Linked DNA regions of Sus scrofa. The protein of the gene in region 1 purifies or fractionates together with the protein of each later gene. This does not show direct contact. Links are inferred from orthologs where the notes say so. Each region holds a gene or a part of one and is shown on either strand. Other genes may lie near its edges.

What was found.
Region 2: the proteins of VAMP8 (region 1) and SNAP23 purify together in Homo sapiens (affinity purification with western blotting; 3 studies listed by BioGRID and IntAct, with this or other methods). This does not show direct contact. The link is inferred for Sus scrofa from reciprocal best matches to the Homo sapiens genes VAMP8 and SNAP23.
Region 3: the proteins of VAMP8 (region 1) and STX12 purify together in Homo sapiens (affinity purification with mass spectrometry; 3 studies listed by BioGRID and IntAct, counting the BioPlex papers as one, with this or other methods). This does not show direct contact. The link is inferred for Sus scrofa from reciprocal best matches to the Homo sapiens genes VAMP8 and STX12.
Region 4: the proteins of VAMP8 (region 1) and STX6 purify together in Homo sapiens (affinity purification with mass spectrometry; 3 studies listed by BioGRID and IntAct, counting the BioPlex papers as one, with this or other methods). This does not show direct contact. The link is inferred for Sus scrofa from reciprocal best matches to the Homo sapiens genes VAMP8 and STX6.
Region 5: the proteins of VAMP8 (region 1) and STX4 purify together in Homo sapiens (affinity purification with western blotting; 3 studies listed by BioGRID and IntAct, with this or other methods). This does not show direct contact. The link is inferred for Sus scrofa from reciprocal best matches to the Homo sapiens genes VAMP8 and STX4.

Annotation. Positions count from the first base shown.
Region 1 is NC_010445.4:59,186,844-59,190,349, reverse strand, and holds the end of VAMP8 (vesicle-associated membrane protein 8), read left to right. Parts: intron 1-1,993; coding exon 1,994-2,134; 3' UTR 2,135-2,450; downstream 2,451-3,506. UniProt on the Homo sapiens protein: SNAREs, soluble N-ethylmaleimide-sensitive factor-attachment protein receptors, are essential proteins for fusion of cellular membranes.
Region 2 is NC_010443.5:128,850,808-128,855,047, reverse strand, and holds part of SNAP23 (synaptosomal-associated protein 23), read left to right. Parts: intron 1-595; coding exon 596-754; intron 755-2,030; coding exon 2,031-2,175; intron 2,176-4,067; coding exon 4,068-4,133; 3' UTR 4,134-4,240. UniProt on the Homo sapiens protein: Essential component of the high affinity receptor for the general membrane fusion machinery and an important regulator of transport vesicle docking and fusion.
Region 3 is NC_010448.4:84,942,238-84,946,477, forward strand, and holds part of STX12 (syntaxin-12), read left to right. Parts: intron 1-1,195; coding exon 1,196-1,333; intron 1,334-4,240. UniProt on the Homo sapiens protein: SNARE promoting fusion of transport vesicles with target membranes. Together with SNARE STX6, promotes movement of vesicles from endosomes to the cell membrane, and may therefore function in the endocytic recycling pathway.
Region 4 is NC_010451.4:122,577,547-122,582,567, forward strand, and holds the start of STX6 (syntaxin-6), read right to left. Parts: upstream 3,028-5,021; 5' UTR 2,821-3,027; coding exon 2,786-2,820; intron 1-2,785. UniProt on the Homo sapiens protein: SNARE promoting movement of transport vesicles to target membranes. Targets endosomes to the trans-Golgi network, and may therefore function in retrograde trafficking.
Region 5 is NC_010445.4:17,424,828-17,428,873, forward strand, and holds part of STX4 (syntaxin-4), read right to left. Parts: intron 1,442-4,046; coding exon 1,333-1,441; intron 1,262-1,332; coding exon 1,185-1,261; intron 1-1,184. UniProt on the Homo sapiens protein: Plasma membrane t-SNARE that mediates docking of transport vesicles. Necessary for the translocation of SLC2A4 from intracellular vesicles to the plasma membrane.

The DNA.
Region 1 (3,506 bases):
GTCTTCTGAGGCTTCTCTCCTAGGAGACTTTCCCTTTGAAGGCTGCCCTTGACAATCATTTGGATCTGGCCTTCCCCAGGGCAAAAATATTGGCTCCAGAAAATCCTCTTAGGGCTCTAGGCCTTCCCCAGGAGTTGTTAGGCAGGTGGTGGAAAACTGTTAAGAATCTTGCTGAGCCAGCTTTAAAAAGAAGGTGGGAAAAGCAGTAAAAGTCTTTGATCCAGGGTTCTCTGCTAGCTAAAGGCTAGAATAATATCTCCCACATCTTTTTTTTTTTTTTTTTTTTAGGCCATCTGGTACCTGTAGCATATGGAAGTTCCCAGGCTAGGGGTCCAATCAGAGCTGTTGCCTCTGGCCACAGCCACAGCCACAGCAGCTTGGGATCCAGGCTGGATCTGTAACCTACACTGCCCCTCACAACAATGGCAGATCCTTAACCCACTGGACAAGGCCAGGGATCGAACCCGTGTCCTCATCGATGCTAATTGGTTTCTTTAGTGCTGAGCCACAAGAGGAACTCCCCAATATCATCCACATCTTGCTAGATCTCATTCTCTCTCTCCAGCCAGAGGCTGCAGCCAGCTGCCCAGGGAGGGAGGAACTCTAAAGTTCAGCAGAGGGCTGGAGCATAGGATTCCACATCCATGGGAGAGCCTGGCCTTGGCTTTCTGAGTCCTGTGTGTGACCTTGGGTATAGATCCTTTGACTCCCTGAGACTTAGTGTTTCTTTCCACAGCCTCGTCTGGGGAGCATAGCCCAGGAAAGTTAATTTCTGCAACTTGAATTGGGAGAGGAAGAGCATTTTTCCCTCATTTCCAACCCCTGAATGGCCCTGGCCCCTCCTCCAGCTTCAGTGGTCCTCAGGGAGCCAGAAGTCACAAAACCAGGGACATGTGTCCCCCTGGAGCCTGTACCCCTCAGCCCCAGTGTCTGCCCTCCCAAGGGCAGGTTGCACTGACGATGTCACAACTGTGGGTGTGAGCATATGTCAGAGGCCCCTCAGTATACATGACAGTGCAGGGGTAAGAAGAGAAGGGGACAGTCAGGGCACCCAAGGGGTGAGCCCAAGAATCCTAAATTTGAACTTGGCCCACCAGGTTGTTGTGAAGGTATATTTGTCAAGGTAGGAGGACAGAACCTTTTTATTCAGCAGTCTGTTACCTCACCTTTAGCACTTAAATAAATATATATATTTATATACAAATATATAATATATAAAATATATAAAATATATAAATATGTAAAATATCCAAAGTGTATAATATACAAATATATAAAAAATTTTTATTTTGTCTTTTTAGGGCCACACCCCTGGCATGTGGAAGTTCCCAGGCTGGGGGTCTAATTGGAGCTGACACCACAGCCACAGCAACACCAGATCCGAACTTCGTCTGAGACCTACACCACAGCTCACGGCAACACTGGATTCTTAACCCACTGAGCAAGGCCAGGGATCAAACCTGTCACCTCATGGTAATTAGTCAGGTTCGTTAACCACTGAGCCATGATGGGAACTCCCAAATATATAATTATGTAATTTTTTTTTTTTCTTTTTTGGCCGCCCTGCAGCTCAGGGAGTTCCCAGGCCACAGATCAGATCTGAGCTGCAGTTGCCCCTTAAGGCTGAATCTGCGGCAAGGCTGGATCCTTAACCCATGGTGCATGGCCAGGGATCAAGCCTGCGTCCCAGTGCTCCCAAGACTCCACCCATCCTGTTGGGCCACAGCAGGAACTCCAGCACCTAAATATTTTTTTTTTATTTTTATTTTTTTGGGCCATGCCCAACGCAGGCAGAAGTTCCCCGGGCCAGGGATTGAGCCCTGGCCATGGCTGCAGCCTGAGCCACCACAGTGACAATGCCAGATCCTTAGCCTACTGAGCCACCGGGAAACTCCTAGCACTTAAACACTTAAATGTGTGGTGTGCGGGTCTCTGTTTGTACTCGTGGTCCAGTGGGAGGAGGCACTGGGTCACTCTGCCTTATCTCTTGCAGTCTGAGCACTTCAAGACCACGTCCCAGAAGGTGGCTCGGAAGTTCTGGTGGAAGAACGTGAAGATGATCGTCATCATCTGCGTGATCGTTTTTATCATCATCCTCTTCATCGTGCTCTTTGCCACCAACGTCATCCCTTAAAATAACTTAGGGAACCCCTTCCACCCTGCCCTCCTCTTCAGGGCAACCTTCCATAGTGGGTGCCGAGAGGGGCCCTCTCTCCCATGCTCCTCCACAAAGAATGCTGCTCGAGCCTCCCGCCTCTCACTCTGAGACCCCCGCACTGTCTGCCCCCGTGAGTACCTTGGTCCCTGGAAGGAGAGAGCCAGACTGTGGCTGTGTCTCAGGGGGCCTCAGAGGTGGTTGGAGAGACAGACCCAGAGGGCCCAGCATGTGGCTGGGAAGCTGATGGAACTGACGGTGGCCAGTGGGCAATAAAGACCTTTCTGTATCCCTATGCGTGTGAGGTCCTTTCTCCCTTTCCGTTTGGACCTTCTATTTCTTTTTCTTTTTAGTCTTCTTAGGGCCACACCCACCATATATGGAAGTTCCCAGGCTAGGGGTCGAATTGGAGCTGCAGCTGCCAGCCTACACCACAGCCACTGCAACTCAGGATCCGAGCCGGTCTGCAACCTGCACCACAGCTCAATAGCAACACTCAGTCAGTCCTTAACCCACTGAGCAAGGCCAGGATCGAATCTATATCCTCATGGATACTAGTTGGGTTCTTAATCTGCTGAGCCACAGCGGGAACTCCTGGCCCTTCTATTGCTTTTCTCTCTGAAGACCCTCTGGCAGAGTCTCCCATTGGAGGGCCAAGTTATTGGAGGGGCGGAGAGCATATATTTGAAGGAGAAAAGTGGAAATGCCTTGTCTTTCTTGTTTGTTTTGTTTTGTTGTTTTGGCGACCCCTGCAGCATATGGAGTTCCTGGGCCAGAGAATGCCAGATCCAACCTGTATCCTGGGGCTGCAGAGATGCTGCCAATCCCACTGCTCCACAGAGGGAACTCCTCCCTGACTTTCTTTATCTCTCCTTTCTCCATCACTGTCACTTGTCTCAAGAAGAGGAATTTTCTGGAGGTCTCAGCATACAGAAAATTCAAAACCTCCCCCAACATTTTAGGGTGGTATGTAAGACTCCCAGTGGCCCTCTCTTGCCATTTCCTTTGTTACTTTTCTGCGGGAAGTGTTAGCTGAGATGGGAAACCTACCTGGGCTGACCCTTTCGTCTGGTTAAGGGCCTCCTGCCCCTCCCATCAGTGCTCTTTCTCTTCCATGGCCCTATTGTACTCTAGAGGTGGGAGGTGGGGTGCGGGGTGTTGGAGGAACTGAACTGCTTTTCCGTCTCCTGTGGTTCTGCAAGTTCCATTTGTCTTTTGTCTGCCCCTGCCCTCCTGGAGCTTAGCAGGGCCTCTGGGTCTCAGCTGTCCTGAGGGGGCAAGCATCTCACGCGTGTCCCGTGGCCGGGCACAGTCAGTGTCACAGGACAGGGCCTATGGCCTTCCTTCCCCT
Region 2 (4,240 bases), on another chromosome or scaffold:
TTTATTGGCTGTTTAATTTGGAAAATATTTCATGCCTCTTCTTCATGATATCTGTTTCTTAAGAAACTTTTTTTTTTTAATTAATGCAAAATTCTGACTTAAAAAAAAATGGACCAAGGGGAATTACTACAGTTCAAGTGAGTGGGCAGCTGAAGTCTAAGTATTGCCCACTCAGTCTTCTTTCTCTTCCATCTTTCATCAGCCTCTGAGATGCGTCCAAGGAACCCTTAAGGCATCCCAGAGCACCTTTCCTAAGGAATTTTTTCCCTAGTGTACAGTACCCTCTTCTGGAGAGTGTCAGAAACTAAGGGAACATGAAAAATAGTAATTACATTATGCTATTTGCTACCTGCTTAGCGAATATTTGGTGGAAGTAGTTTAACTTTAAAAAAAATTTTAATGTCATCAGACTTAAACAGTTCATCTTTTTCCCATACCAGATTGTGATAGAGCATAGTATGGATAATCTCGATTTAGCTGTGTGTAGCATTTATGCTAAGGGTGGTAGGCCATCACCAAGGTAACAAGCACGAATAATGACAGTTCTCCTTCTTCTGCTTTTCGGTATCTCTCTACACTCCTGTCTCTCACACAGGACAAAGAACTTTGAGTCTGGTAAAGCCTATAAGGCGACATGGGGTGATGGTGGAGACAACTCTCCTAGCAATGTAGTATCTAAGCAGCCAGGCCGAGTGACAAATGGTCAGCCTCAGCAAGCAGCCACAGGAGCAGCCAGCGGCGGATACATTAAACGGTATGCTAGCTCCTCCCAGTATGTTTACCCTTTCCCTAAATGAATAGCTCTTTCTGGAGGATGGGTATAGTTATGCATGAGTCCTAACTCATCAATTAGAAATAGCATTTATTGGAATTCCCCCCGCCGTGATGCAGTGGGTTAAGAATCCGACTGCAGCAGGTCACTGCAGAGGTGTGGGTTTGAAATAGCATTCATTCTGTTCTAAAATTTGCCTTCTGACAAAATGGCCTTCAGTGATGAATTAACTTTTCTATATAAAATACATTTCTAAATTATTCAAGTAATCACGTTTTACTTCTGTAAATACAAAGACGTGTTTTAAAATGTATCATCCAGAGTTCCTGTCATGGCTCAGTGGTTAATGAACCCAATCAGGGTCCATGAGGACGAGGGTTTGATCCCTGGCCTTGCTCAGTAGGTTAAGGATCTGGTGTTGCCATGAGCTGTGGTGTAGGTCACAGATGCGGCACGGATCCTGCATTGCTGTGGCTGCGGCATGGGCCAGCAGCTACAGCTCTGATTCGAACCTAGCCTGGGAACCTCCATATGCCAAGGGTGTGGCCCTAAAAAGACAAAAGACAAAAAATAAATGTTCCCATGTGATGCAGTGGGTTAAGGATCTGCCGTTGTCACTGCTGTCGCTCTGGTAATAGCCGTGGCATGGGTTTGATCCCTGACCCAGAACTTCTGCATGCTGTGGGTGGGGCCAAAAAAAAAAAAGTGTCATCCAGAGTAGGAGTTGACCAGATCCCTATAAGGATATCTGTAAATGGTCAGTTAGTAAATATTTCAGACTTTACAGGAGTTTTGCAACCTATTTCAGAGCAGTGATTCTTTAGACTTAAGCATGCATCAGAATCACCTTTGAAGTTTAATAAAATGTAGATTGCTAGGATCCCTTCCAATCTTTGATTCAGGAGATCTGGAGTGGAGTGTGAGAATGAGCATGTTTTTTGTTTTTATTTTGGCTGTGCCCATGACATGTGTGGTCAGGGATTGAACCTGCACCACAGCAGTGGCAACTCTGGATCCTAGGCCACCAGGGAACTCCCTAGAGTTGTTTCTTTATCTTGTCTTAAGGGCTTTTAAGATATTGCACTCTCTTGGGTCAGTCTTTGCATTTTTTACTATAGAGTATTTCCCAAAAATGGTAACCTGCATTCCTTGGGTTCAACACTTGCTGAGGTCATTTTGGTTACTTATTTTTATGAAAACTAAATCACCCCATAATTCACCCCAAAGTACTGAATTAAATTTTTTTTTTTTGCGATAGTATAACAAATGATGCCAGAGAAGACGAAATGGAAGAGAACTTGACTCAAGTGGGCAGTATCCTAGGAAATCTAAAAAACATGGCCCTGGACATGGGCAATGAGATCGAGGCTCAAAATCGACAAATAGAACGGATCACAGAAAAGGTAAGAGCTTCTTAGTGCCACAGGAAAATGAGACATCCAATACAGTGTTTTAGCAATGGACATCTGTACTGGATACTTTGGGGAATAGGATAAGATCTTATCCTCACAGGTCTTAACAGTTTTGATGAGGCAGCAGGTCTAACACATTGAAAAACAAGAGTTGGAGTTCCTGTTGTGGTGCAGCGGAAACAAATCTAGTATCCATGAGGATGCGGGTTTGATCCCTGGCCTCCCTTAGTGGGTCAGGGATCTAGCACTGCTGTGAGCTGTGGCATGGGTTGCAGACACAGCTCGGATCCCACGTGGCTGTGGCTGGTAGCTACAGCTCCAATTCGACCCCAAGCCTGGGAGCCTTGGGTGTGGCCCTAAAAAAAAAAAAGAAAAGAAAGAAAAGAAAAACATCAGTCAAGTCCTCCTCTCTCACTCATTGTTCATTTTGAGACTAAGACCTTGGAATGAAGTGCCTTTATTTAAAATTTCACTCATGAAGCTTACTGTCTTCTCTAACTTTTGTGTGTGTTGTCATTTGTTTTACTTTCCCCTTAATGAGCACGTAAGCTTTTGGAATTTTATTTTGTTAATAACAAATTACTAAATTTCTAAGTCCTCGTGTCGTAAGTAGGTAAAAATCACTTTTGCAGAATGGTTCCTGTGGGGTGGACACAAAAACACAAGATAGAGTCCTATGAGTAATGAAAAAGTATGATTGCTATTTTTTACTTCACATGATATAAAAGAAACTGAAATTAAATTATGTTCAATATTTGGTTGTGTCATATCTAAAAGCTATTCTTACTTCTTGTTACTTCATTAAAATCTCTCCGTTAAAATTTGGGTTAATCTTTTAAGCCTGGCTCTATTGAATCACTTATGATGGAGTTCATTGAGGCAAACAGTGGTTCATAAGATGGTTTTAATGCTGTTATGTGTGTTTAGGCTACATAGTAAACCCATCATTTTAATTCACATATTGATGTGGTTGGTAATACATCTGTTCCAAACATCTTGGGGCAGGTTATTTCATTCTCTGAGTTAGACCCAGGGTAGCTCCAGATGAGATTCTTTTTTTTTTGTCTTTTTAGGGCTTCACCAAAGACACGTGGAGGTTCCCAAGCTAGGGGTCAAATCGGAGCTACAACTGCCAACCTATGCCACAGCCACAGCAAGGCAGGATCTGAGCTGGGTCTGCGACCGACACCACAGCTCATGGCAACACCGGATCCTTAACCCTCTGAGCGAGACCAGGGATCGAACTTGCATCCTCATGGATACTAGTCAGATTCATTTCTGCTGAGCTATGACAGGAACTCCTCCAGATGAGATTCTGTGTTCAGTTCAGGAGATTCCCACATGGTCCAGATCTCCAGCAGAGAAAAGCATTTTTATATTTTCATTGCATCTAAAATGCCATTTAATATAAGATGCATCCCAGTTTCAGACATATTCAACTATGAAAAAAGATGTTACAGAGGGAGTTCCTGCCATGGTGCAGTGGGTTAAGAATCTGACTGCATCGGCTTAGGTTGCCATGGAGGTGCAGGTTCAATCCCAGCCTGGTGCAGAATGTTAAAGGATCTGGCATTGCCGAAGCTGGAGCTTGGATTCAGTCCCTGGCCCAGGAACCTGCATGTGCCATGAATGCAGCCATTAAAAAAAAAGAAAAGAGAAAAAAGTTACAGAATTCTTGAAATACTGGCAAGTTCTTCTCTTATACCTTTGTCATGTTTATATATCCAAGTAGTTCTAAACGAGTTTGATATTCTATCACTTCTTACCCAAAATGAGTTTTGTAATGTGACTATCTCCTGAATTTTTCTAAGTATACGAAATTTAATGTTTATTAGAGCAGCTTACCTTGTGAAGTAATGCTGGTATCTTTCTCTTTTTTTCAGGCTGACACCAACAAAGACCGTATTGACAATGCCAATGCCAGAGCAAAGAAACTCATTGACAGCTAAAGTTACTGCTGTACTTCTTTATCATATGTTCACTTCCCTAGCTCCTCCTTCAAAGTCATTACCTTTCCAAAGTTTGAAATTTTGGTTCCACACTTCTAATCGAGAGA
Region 3 (4,240 bases), on another chromosome or scaffold:
TTCCAGCCAAACCGTCTTTGATCCTCTGTAAATTTCTACCACCGTACCTTTGCTCGTACTGTTCTCTTGCCTGAATTTACCTTACCCCTTCTCTCTGCTATTCACGCTTCCTTTAATGTCCACCTCTTCTTGAGGCCTTTTTGGCCACTTGGAGTCTTACCGATTATACTTGCCTCTGAACGCCTATAGTACTGTTGAATATAGCAAATTACTGATTTTTTGCTTGTGTATGTAAATTCTTTATCTACATATAGATGGTAAGCTATTTGAAGTCAGGAGTGAGTTTTTACTTCTGTGTTCTCAGCACACAGCAAATGCTCTCAATATGTGTTTTTTTGTTTGTTTGTTTGTTTTGTTTTGTTTTGTTTTGTTTTGTTTGGCTTTTTGCTATTTCTTGGGCCGCTCCCGCGGCATATGAAGGTTCCCAGGCTAGGGGTCGAATCGGAGCTGTAGCCACCGGCCTACACCAGAGCCACAGCAACGCGGGATCCGAGCCGCATCTGCAACCTACACCACAGCTCATGGCAACGCCGGATCGTTAACCCACTGAGCAAGGGCAGGGACCGAACCTGCAACCTCATGGTTCCTAGTCGGATTCGTTAACCACTGCGCCACAATGGGAACTCCCAATATGTGTTTTTTGAGACATAGTTTCAGTAAGCTTAGAAAAGGTAGCCTGTAACCGTACAAAGTAGTTTTCTCAGAGATTTTGAACCTCAATACAGTGTGAAGGAAAATGATTGTATGGGTTTCAGGTAAGCTGAGAACTCAGTATAGATTAATACAGTTTTAACATTTTAGCAAGAACACCATCTTTGTTTGGGTCCAATCTGAGTCCATAGGTGTTTTTCTGCTTTTAGATTCTCCAGGGAACCAAAATTCTGAATTGCAGTTCCCTCTGAGATTCCCTTACAAGGTAAATGACACACAAGTCCCAGATTTGTCAGAATGAATGAAGGAAAACTCTGAGTTAGCAAAGAACAAATTTATTAATTTAGGGAAGAGCCTATTTCATAGTAATTTTCCTAGTTGGAAATCTTTAGGGGGCATAGTTTTGCTTTTAATTGGAATTAAAACCAAATAATTCTAATATTGTATGTCAGTTCTACTTCAATTTAAAAAAATGATGTCCAAAAAAACCCCCAAATGATTCTAGGTTAATATGAAATTTCAAGTTCTTGTTTAATTTCCTCAGCGCCAGCAGAAACTTCAGAAGGAACGTCTCATGAATGACTTCTCTGCAGCCTTAAACAGTTTCCAGGCTGTGCAGAGAAGGGTGTCTGAAAAGGAAAAGGAGAGTATTGCCAGAGCAAGAGCTGGATCTCGTCTTTCTGTAAGTTTATTCCCGAAAGAAGACCTTTGCAAATGTCAGGATGTTCTTTCCTAAGGTTTTTTGTTGTTGTTGTTGTTTTTTAAATTTTTTATCATTTGTGTTTGTTTACTATCCTCCAAATAATAAACATAGACATTAACTGCTGTGACAATGTCAGATTGGTATAAGCTTTGTTTTAAAAAAAAAAGTGTGCGTGTGGTCAAAGACTAGAAAGAAATATGTACAACGATTTACGAAAGTGACAGGTAAAATTACTTGTAATTTTTTTTCTTTTTATTGTTATGTTGATATTATGTTAAAAACTTCAAAGTGTAATAAATCCATTTCCTAGAATATACCAGGCTAGGTTATTTGGATTAGCCTTCTCTTTGAAAAGACTTAACAAAGACTAGATTTTAACAGCATAACTCTTCAAAAGTATCAAAGAGCCATGAAAATATTAAGGTCAGAGTCTAAGAGAAGCTGTAAATCCATAAAGGTAAGCAGAGCACTGAAGCTGCTTTTGCGCAGAGTACTTTTTACTGAGGGCAAACTTGAATTTAGTGTTGCTGGTCCTCCTGTCATGGGGCGGGAGGCAAAAGTCAAAGCCAAGGGTCCACACAAGGTGAATAATCTAAAATAAGGTGCTCCTCCTGCTGCAGAGCACTAGTTACTTGTGATGGAACATGATTAAGTATAATGTGAGAAAAAGAATGTATATATATATATATATATATATGTATGTATGAATGACTGGGTCACTTTGCTGTACAGCAGAAATTGACAGAACATTATAAATCAACTATAATAAAAAATAAAAAAAAAGGTGCGGCTCAATTTAAACTGGGCCCTAAAAAATGAAAAATAAGCCCCCCTTTCCCCTAGCAATCTGCAAAAAAAGATTGCATTGGCATTGAGAATGGCAAGATGGAGAGGAAATCCAGATAATAAGGTGTACCATAAAGTAATCTTCAGATAAATTTACTGCTCAAATTCATACTACCTGAATGGTCCCAAAGCCTCAAGTTTCAAGTAGTCCTGGACTGGTAGAGTACCTGTGTACCAAGCAGAAGCAAATACAATCCTCTCTATTTAGACTTTGTCCTAACCCTAAAAGAGTACCTTCGAATAATTTTCCAAGTGTAGTGAGCAGCCCAAGGTGCACAAATAAACAAAAACCCTGAACAAGAACTACTAGAAACAACAGTGAGGTGAAATAGACCTTCAAAGACTTCATACATTAGAATTATAAGACAACTGTACTTATTATGTTTAAAGAAATAGAAGAGAATCTTAAACACATCTACAGGAAGCAGGAAACTTCTCAAAAAACTTTGGAAAGAGTCAAAAGATTTTCTAGAATTGAAAAATATAATGTAGAAATTAAAAGCTTAAAGGCTGTGGGTTTAACTAGAAAATAGATTAGAAGGTATTATCCAGCATGTAGGACAAGGGGTTAAGAAGTTAAATCGGGAAAAAGGTTATGAGAAATAGGGAATGAAGTGAAAAGATCTAAACTGGATTTAAGTAGAGTTACAAAATGAGAATAGAGCAGACATAGATCAGCAGTGATATTTGAAGAGATGACTGGTAATATTTCAGAACTGATGAAAGACAGTAATCTACAGTTTCTTTTTTTTTTTTTTTTCTTTTTTGCTATTTCTTGGGCCGCTCCCGTGGCATATGGAGGTTCCCAGGCTAGGGGTCTAATCAGAACTGTAGCCGCCAACCTACGCCAGAGCCACAGCAACGCGGGATCCTTAACCCACTGAGCAAGGGCAGGGACCAAACCCACAACCTCATGGTTCCTAGTCTGATTCGTTAACCGCTGCGCCACGGCGGGAACTCCCTAATCTACAGTTTCAAGAAGCCTGACAAATCCCAAGAAGGGTAAATTTTAAAATTCTCATTTAGGTATATCAAAGAGAAACTTCAGAACACCAAAGACAAAGAGAAAATCATTAAAAAAAAAAATAGGGGCCAGGAAAACAACAGAATACCTTTAAAGATGCCACAGGTAGAGTGACAGCTGACTTGTCAACAGTGACAGCTGAAGCAAGCAGAGTGTTGTCTTTAATGTTACGGAGGACAATGATTGTCTATCTAGGATTCTAAACCTAGAGAAAATAGCTACTCAGAATGAGGGCATTCTCAGAATGAAAGACATTTTCAGTCAAAAGAGAGTTTGCTATCAGCGCACCTTACGTAAGAACATTCTGAAAGATGTACTTCAAGCAGGAAGGCGATCCCAGATAGTGAGTCTGAAAAACAAAGAAAATGGTAAATATTACAGACGAATCACAAACAAGGAGATACTGCTGTATGTACAACTGATAAAAGGCTAATATCCAGAAGATATAGAAGTTCCCGTCGTGGCTCAGCAGTTAACGAAAATCAACTAGGAACCATGAGGTTGAGGGTTCGATCCCTGCCCTTGCTCAGTGGGTTAAGGATTGGTGTTGCCGCGAGCTGTGGTGTAGGTTGCAGGTGCAGCTCAGATCCCGCATTGCTGTGGCTCTGGCATAGGCTGGCAGCTACAGCTCCAATTAGACCCCTAGCCTGGGAACCTCCATATGCTGCAGGAGTGGCCCAAGAAATAATAAAAACAAAACAGAATATATAAAGAATTCTCAGGAATCAATATGAAAAAGACAACCCAATAAAACAATAGTTTCTCAAACTTTTTGATCTCAGGACCCCATTACACTCTTAAAAAGTATTAAGGGTTCCAAAAAGATTTTGTTTGTATAAATTATATCTATTGATATTTATTGTAATAGAATTAAAACTGAGACATTTTAAAAATGTTTATAAATAATAAACCCAATATAACCTATTTTATATTTTATATAGTAAACATAGTTTATATTTAAAACTATTTTTTGAAAAACAAGTTGCTGAGAAGAGTGGCATTGTTTTTGTTTTTAC
Region 4 (5,021 bases), on another chromosome or scaffold:
TATACGTGGAACAATCTGGGTACATCAATCCGCACTTTGAACTGTGTGTTTAATGAACTCCAAATAAAGATCAAGTGTTTCTGATGAAAATTTAGTGTCCAAATTGAGATGTGCTCTAAGTACAAAATACTCGCCGGATTTTTAAGACGTAGTACAAAAAGGGAAAAATCTTTCATTAACAGTCTTTATATTCATCACATGTTGAAATATTTTGAGTATACTGGTTAAAGATGACATTAAAATTAATTTCACTTGTCTTTTACTTTTTACTGCATCTACTAGGCAATGTAACACGGCATGTGTGGCTCACACCGGCATACTGGAGAGCACCCAGCCAGCAGAACTAAGATAGATGAAAGAGGAAAGGGATTGGGAGCAAGAGGACCAAATGGATACTCTTCTTGCCAATAGTCCAGAAGAGACACAGGCTGAATTATCTAAGAGCTACCCATCTTCAAAACCTAAGACATACTACTACCTCCAAAGCTTTTCCAACCACAGCCATTCCTAATGAGATGCCTTTCTCCGGACTACTGGGGCACCTAATCTTCTGTAGCATTCACTTCAGCATTTGATCACTTACCACCTGTCATTTCTACTTAATTTGGGGGTAAGTTGTTTTTCAGATTAGACTACCAGCTCCTAGGCTACAGCATTTGATCACTTACCACCTGTCATTTCTACTTAATTTGGGGGTAAGTTTTTTTCAGATTAGACTACCAGCTCCTAGGCTAAGGGCCACAATTCAAGCATCTTTAATTTTTCCACATCGTGGGGTGCATTTTCAAAACTTTCAATAAGCAGAGATACATGGCTCCATACATTCCCTCACACATTGTGGAGGCACTCATGTAGCTAATTTTACTTTTCCACAGCAGAAGGGTTTTTTTTCTTTTTCTTTTAAGGGCTGCACCTGTGGCATATGGCAGTTCCCTCCAGGCCAGGGGTCTGAATTGTAGCTACAGGTGCCGGCCTATACCACAGCCACAACAAAGCCAGATCCAAGCCTCATCTGTGACCTACACCACAGCTCATAGCAATGCCAGATCCTTAACCCACTGAGTGAGGCCAGGGATGGAACCCATGTCCTCATGGATACTAGCTGGATCCATTTGCACTGCGCCACAACGGGAACTCCCACAAAGCAGAAGGTTTTGACATCTTAAGAACATGAGCTAAAATGATGTCAAAGTCAAGCAAGACTCAAGGCCAATGTTCCAATAAAGCAGTGATATCTAATCAGTGAGCAAGCACTGGTGAACTGCACTGGCTACCATCAAGAAAAAAAAAGTCAAGATGGCAAAACAATTTTGCATTTTCACAAATCCCATTAAAAATTTTAAAATTCTGATTATCTACAGTCTCCACAGCCAGAGATAACCTTTGCAACCCTAAGCATTAAGAACGTTCACTCAAGGAAAAAACAGTTTTCACATTTAAAAATTATCCCCTAAAAATCAATCCTAATAAACCACACATTTTCCAGGTAGAGAGCCACATATTACCAATAATCTAAACTCAGCGTTTTTCCATTTATATTAAAGTCAGGTTAAAAAAAAACTTTTAAAGGCAATGTTAGAAATACATAAATATATTTAACTGTATCATGGGTAATAAAGTATTTAACTTAAAGTACCATTTAAATTTTGTAAAATGAACCGTAAAAAAAAAAAAATAACACTCAAGCAACTGGTCAACTTTTACCCCTACAGAAATAGGAAGCTAGTAGCAACTAGTTGAAAGCAGAGGCACTTTAAGGTCATTGGCACTGATTTTTCCAGAACGTTGCAGTTCTCAGATTGTTTTGTTTGACATTTAAAACAAAAGCTGACAAGTTATAACAACAGAATCAATCTTTTCTGCATTTGTTTAATGGCTACAAAGCCTATATAACAGAGTGCAGTTAAAGCTTCTATCTCCAAACAAACAATTGAGCAATCAAAGATGGAGTCACGACACTTCTTAGGGAAAAATAAGTTAGGACAGCTCTAGTCTCAAAGGCAGAAAAAAGAAGAAATGGGGGAAACCTGTCAAATAGCCTGGATGAAATCAGGGAGTTAAAAAGAAAGCACTCATTTCCTTTAGCACTGTGGGAAAATCCCTGTGCTAACAGAAAGCTAAGGAAAGTTTGGTTTGGCTGATTTCATTTTGTTTTCCTTCCAACATCACCACTGAGTTTGAACAGCAGCTTTCCTCCCCTCCCATTACTCGGTAAAAACTCCCCCACTGAATAGAGTTGTCTTCCGGAGCCTCGCGCCCCCGCCTCCCAGCCTGCAAACGTGCTCAGACGCCTCTGGGCTTGTTGTGGTCTCGCCAGTCAGCGGGCCAGCGCTCCGAACTCAATGGACAATGGGAGCTCACCCCCGTCCACGCCAACTACAAAGCTCAGGAGGCCCATTTCCCTTTTCCTGCCCAGATGCTGTTTTTCCCCCTTCAAAGCAGGGCCCGGTGCTCCACTACAGCCCCACTTTGGTCTGGGACGCCTGTCTCCCTCCCCACCTGAGGAGCTGCTGAACCCCTCGACACCCCTCCATAAGTTGTAGAACGGCGCACAAGCCAAAGGAGACCCCCCCCCTCCCCAGGGGCTTGACTGGGGGCACGGTTTCAAAGTCCAGGTAGCACGAAGAGGGGATGTCTCTGGACGCTTTATCATAGCCCTCAAGGCTAAGCGGTCCCCACGCCAGACTCTACTTGTCTCCCCTCCCCCTAGAGCGAGAAAAGCGGGGAGGTGAGGGCAGGCAGCACTGCCGCCGCCTCCTCCAGTGGAGCCCCCTACGACACTCACCCTTTCACCACAAAGAAGGGGTCCTCCATGGACATGGCGTCCCGGCCCCCGGCCGCCTCACGCCTGCTCTGCGCACAGGGCGCCCGCGCCCTCCCAATCTCCCTCTGCCCACCCCACCCGCCTCGCGCAGCAGCCCGCGTCTCGGCCTGCGGGACCTGTAGCGGCTGCGCGCGCAGGCAGGGGTGCACCGGCCCGCCGCGGGTCCAGTACTCTGTCTGCACCTCAGACCGAAGCCGTGACTCTGGCGCCGGCCCCGGCGCGGCCCCCTCCTCGGCTCCTCCCGGCGCGTCCGGCCGCTTGGCCCCGCCCCCAGGTCCCTCAGCCTCGACCAATCACGAACGCCGTCAGCCGCACCACTTCCGCACTCGCGCTCACGTGACCAGAGCCCCCCCCACCCCCCATCAGCAGGGCCTGGGCCTTGCGTTACTCGACCCTGGAGGCGGGGCTCTGGCGGCGGCGGAGAGGGCGGGTCTTCTCAACACTCACCTCTCAAGATTCAGGGGGAGGAGCTGCTTGTTCCCTGGCAAGAAAGGTAGTCAGGTTTCCTAGATACGGAGATAGTATCAGCTTTGCACAATCTTTTCACCTTTCCTCTCCTTTTGATACTTATTTTGATAACATATAGATTTAGAAATCCATCTCGTCCTCGACTTAGAATAAAGCTCGTCTACCTTATCTGACTCTGATAATGTTGCACAACTCCTTTCTGTGGGTCTTATAGTGCCCAGCAAGACGCTGAAGGCTGTGAGTTATCTCAGTATCCTTGGAGGGGAAGGTATTATTATTCCCATTTTGCAGATTAGAAAAATTCATATAGGTTTCAAGATTTCTTGTGCTCACACAACCTGGACAGGGCAGAGCCCCAGATTCTGTGCACTTTCCACCAGGCTAGGATGTGTTTTTGTGTGTGTTGCGTTTTTTGTCTTTTCTGTGTTCTTGAAGTGATCAGTAAGATAATTTTTTCATACAGCATATGGTGCTTCCTGGAAGAGAGCATTTTTGAAGGACAAAGAAGGGGCCAGGTCTGGCAACTTCTTACCAGCTAAGTGGTTCAAGAGCTCTTCCAGGAAGCCTTTTGGTCAGAACAGTTTATCAAACTCATACGCTAGATAGTCTATGGGTTTTGCGAACTTTAATTGCTGATTATCATTGAGCACATACTGTGTGGCAGGCACTGAGCTTAGTTTATCTCAGGTGCTCTCACAATGTTGTAATCCCCATTATACAGATAAGAAATCTGAGACTTGGAATTTAAGTGACTGGCTTAAAGTTAGCAGTCTTTTTGAAGATAGAAGAGTCCTCAGAGCCAGACAAACCCTGTTTGAACCTGGGTTCTGTTATTCAGTCTCTCATCTATAAAATATGAATATTTAGCTCATAGATTGTTGTGAAGTTTAAATAAAAATGGCTAGATGGAGTTCCTGTTGTGACTCAGTGGGGTTAAGAACCCAACTAGTATCCATGAGGATGTGGGTTCCATCCCTAGCCACGCTCAGTGGATTAAGGATCCAGAGTTGCCTTGAAGTGCAGCATAAGCCAGCAGCTGCAGCTCCTATTCGACCACTAGCCTGGAAATTACACGTGCTGCAGGTGCAGCTCTAAAAGGGGAAAAAAAAAAAAAAAAAAGCCTGGAAACCCCAAGTCTCCCACAGAGTGAGGAAGTGAAGTTAGGGAAACCAGTCTGGAAGCTGCTGTGGTCATCTCACCTGAAGGGATGAGGACTAGACCAGGACAGCAGGGATTGTAAATGGAGAGGAAGGAGAGAATCTGATAGATGTTTCCAAGGAAAAACAAAACAAAACAACTAGACTTGATGAGAGATTGAATGGGATCAGGGAGGAAAGAGGTAAAAGTCAAAGACTCCAGGCTTCTCCAAGACCCTGGAGGAGCGATGGAGGTCAGATGTGGGGGGGAACCCTCCTGGAAGAGAACTGTTTCAGTTCTGAACATATTGAGGTGAGGAATTGAAAAGGGATCATCTTTCATTCATTCAACAAACACATGGAAATTGAGATGAGAATGGTGATTAAGATCCAGAGTTGCAACCAGATTACTTGGGTTTGAATCCCAGTTCTGCTACTTCCTGATTATTGCACCTTGGGCAAACTGCTTAGTCTCTGTCCTCAACTATGAAATGGACACCACAAAACACCTCCCTCATAAAGTGGCGTGAGGACTGAATGAATTAATGTCTGAAAAACGCTCAGAACAGTGCCTGGCATGTGTTGTTCTCTTA
Region 5 (4,046 bases), about 42 Mb from region 1:
GCTTCAAATGATGCAACTGACAAGGGCTTAATCTCTAGAATATATAAGCAACTTACACAACTCAACCACAAAAAAGCCAACAACCCAATGGAAAAATGGGCAAAAGATCTGAACAGACATTTCTCCAAGGAAGATATACAGATGGCCAACAAGCACATGAAAAAATGCTCAATGTCCCTGATTATTAGAGAAATGCAAATCAAACCTACCACGAGATACCATCTCACACCAGTCAGAATGGCCATCATTAATAAGTCCACAAATAACAAATGCTGGAGGGGGTGTGGAGAAAAAGGAACCCTCCTGCACTGTTGGTGGGCATGTAAGCTGGTACAACCACTATGGAAAACAGTATGGAGATACCTTAGATATCTATACATAGAACTACCATATGACCCCACAATCCCACTCTTGGGCATATATCCAGACAAAACTTTCCTTAGAAAAAACACATGTACCCGCATATTCACTGCAGCACAATTCACAATTGCCAAGACATGGAAACAACCCAAATGTCCATCGACAGATGATTGGATTAGGAAGATGCGGTATATATACACAATGGAATACTACTCAGCCATAAAAAAGAACGAAATAATGCCATTTGCAGCAACATGGATGGAACTGTAGACTCTCATGCTGAGTGAAGTAAGTCAGAAAGAGAAAGACAAATACCATAGGATATCACTTATATCTGGAAGCTAATATATGGCACAAATGAACCTTTCCACAGAAAAGAAAATCATGGACTTGGAGAACAGACTTGTGGTTGCCGAGGGGGAGGGGGAGGAAGTGGGGTGGATGGGGCGCTTGGGGCGCATAGATTCAGACTATTGCCTTTGGAATGGATTAGCAATGAGATCCTGCTGTGTGGCACTGGGAACTGTGTCTAGTCACTTATGAGGGAGCCTGATAATGTGAGAAAATAGAATGTGTACATGTACGTGTAACCAGGTCACCGTGCTATACAGCAGGAAAAAAAGTTGTATTGGAGAAATAACAATTAAGAAAAAAACAGAAAGAAGTTCATGGTGAGCCTTGGGGCAGCCCTCCGGCCTAGAACCGGGGCCAGGGCCCTGAGGAGTGATCCCAGGCAGGCTCCTTCATTCCCTTCTGGGCCTCAGGATTCCCTCCATGCAAAAGGGCCGGGACTCAGAGCGGACAGAAGGAGGCCGGCCACTCACGTTGGACACAAACACCTCGCTCTGCCCGCTGTCCAGCATCTGCTCCAGCTCCTCGTCAGACACCATGCCAGCATTTGCTGTGAAGGGAAAGGCCAGGCTCAGCGCTGGTCAGGTCACCTGACCCGGCAGGCCCGGCGCCGCAACTCACTGATCTTCAGCTGCCTCCGGATCCGCTCCACGTTCTTCTCCCGGTACTCGGACTGCATGGAGTTGCACTTGTTGATGAGCTCCACGAATTGCTGGGACAGGACCCCATGCTAAGGAGGGAGAAGAGAGGCTGGGCACCCCTGGGAGGATCCCTGCTCCCTCGGGGCCTCAGCATCCCCATGGGTACAGGGAGCAAAGAGCATGAGCTGTTACAGGTGCCTGTCGCCTTAACCGCCTTGAATGGGCTCCTCCAGTCCCTCAAGGTGAAAGTCAAAGCCCTCCCCAAGGGCCTGAGAGGCCCTATATGACCCACCCCTCTCCCTGGTTCCCATCTAACCTCACCTTCCAATACTGTTTCCTCACTCCTTCCCTCCAGCCATAGTGGGCTCCTTACTCCTCCATGAACAAAGGACAGCCCCAGCTCGGGCCTTTGTACTCGCCCCTCCTTGGGCCTAAAATGCTCAGGCCCCACAAAGGTAATTAGTCTGTGTTTCAAGGTCGCCCTCTTATTTATTTATTTATTTGCCGCCCCCCCCTTCCTTTTTGTGCTTTTTAGGGCTGCACCCAAGGCATATGGAGCTTCCCAGTCTAGGGGTCAAATTGGAGCCACAGTTGCCAGCCTATAGCACAGCCACAGCAACACAAGATCTGAGCTGCACCTGCCACCTACACCACAGCTCACGGCAAGGCAGATCCTTAACCCACTGAGCAAGGCCAGGGATTGAACCCGCAACCTCATGATTACTAGTCAGATTCGTTTTCGCTGTGCCACAACAGGAACTCCAATTTTCTTTTTTGCTTTTTATTTATTTATTTATTTATTTATTTATTTATTTATTTATTTATTTATTTTTTAGGGTTTCACCCGTGGCATATGGAAGTTCCCAGGCTAGGGGTTGAATTGGAGCTGCAGCTTCCAGCCTACACCACAGCCACAGCAACGTGGGATCTAAGCCCCAGCTCACCACAATACAGGTCTTTAATCCACCAAGGGAGGCCAGGGATCGAACCTGCATCCTCATGAATACTAGTCGGGTTCATTACCGCTGAACCACAAGGGGAACTCCCTCAATATCACCTTGTGAACAGAGTTTTCTCTGCCTTATTGCAATTGCTACTTGCCTTCTCCTAGTGTTCTCAATCCCTCTTCTCCTGCTCTGGTCCCTTAACCCACCCTATGTTCTGAAATAACTTCCTGATTTATTATGGTGCTTCTCTCTCCTACCAGAATGTAAGCTCCGCGAGGATTGGGGTCTTTGGTTCACAAACAGCTAGAAAAGGCCCTCACACAGTAGACCCTTAATAAATAGGTGTTGAATGCTTGCTGAACACCAGCCTCACGGCTTAGACTAGAGGTGGGCCAGGTATACCTGGAGGTCCAGTGATTGCCCAGACTTCACAGGTCCACTCCAGCCTCTCACACCAGCGACCACCATAACCTCCCCCTGAAACGCCCTCTCACCTTGTCCATTCCTCAGTGTCTAAAATGTGCTTGGAGTTCCCGTCGTGGCGCAGTGGTTAACGAATCCGACAAGGAACCATGAGGTTGCGGGTTCAGTCCCTGGCCTTGCTCAGTGGGTTAAGGATCCAGCATTGCCATGAGCTGTGGTATAGGTTGCAGATGTGGCTCATTTCCCACATTGCTGTGGCTGTGGTGTAGGCCAGTGGCTACAGCTCCGATTAGACCCCTAGCCTGGGAACCTCCATATGCCGTGGGAAGCAGCCCTAGAAAAGGCAAAAAGACAAAATAAATAAATAAATAAATATAAGTAAAATGTGCTCACACCTGGAGTTCCTGTTGTGGCTCAACGGTTAAGAACCCGCCTAGTATCCATGAGGACGTGGGTTCGGTCCCTGGCCTTGCTCACTGGGTTAAAGAGCTGGCATTGCTGTGAGCTGTGGTATAGGTCAAAGACACGGCATGGCTCTGGGGTTGCTGTGGCTGTGGTGTAGGATGGTAGCTATAGCTCTGATTTGACCCCTAGTCTGGGAACTTCCACATGCTGTGGGTGTGGCCCTAAAAAGACACAAAAATAAAAAAATAAAATGTGCTCATTCCTTGGATTTCCTCAGAGACACAGCTGCTCTCCCGGCTTCAGCTGCACCCTTTCAAGATGCCCAAACTGTTTCGTCTTCAATCTGGGGTCTTTGCTGAGCTCTGGGCCCACCTATTCCAACTCTGAGCTCTAAGTATGCAAAACCCCTCCCCACTGGGCACCAAGAGGAGGCTGGTCAGACCTCAACTCTCCTTACAAAGATGGTGACTCAGTGACCTTCCCCCCATACCCCACCCCCAGAAGTTCCTCTTCCTAACTTCTTTTTTTTTTTTTTTTTTTTTTTGGCTTTTTAGGGCTGCACCCGCAGCACATGGAGGTTCCCAGGCTAGGGTTCTAATCGGAACTACAGCTGCCAGCCTACACCACAGCCACAGCAACGCCAGATCTGAGCCACGTCTGTGACCTATACCACAGCTCATGAGAACACCGGATCCTTAACCCACTGAGCAAGGCCAGGGATCAAACCCACAACCTCATGGTTCCCAGTCGGAGTCATTTCCACTGCGCCATGACGGGAACTTCTTCTCTTCCTGACTTCTTGATTTCGGCCTCTGGAGCAGAGGATGTCCCTGTCACATGGGCAGGGAACCTCCCAGTCATTTGACTGGGCCCTCTTCTTCCCTGGGCAGAGCCATTAGCTGCCAAGTCCTTCCTGAGT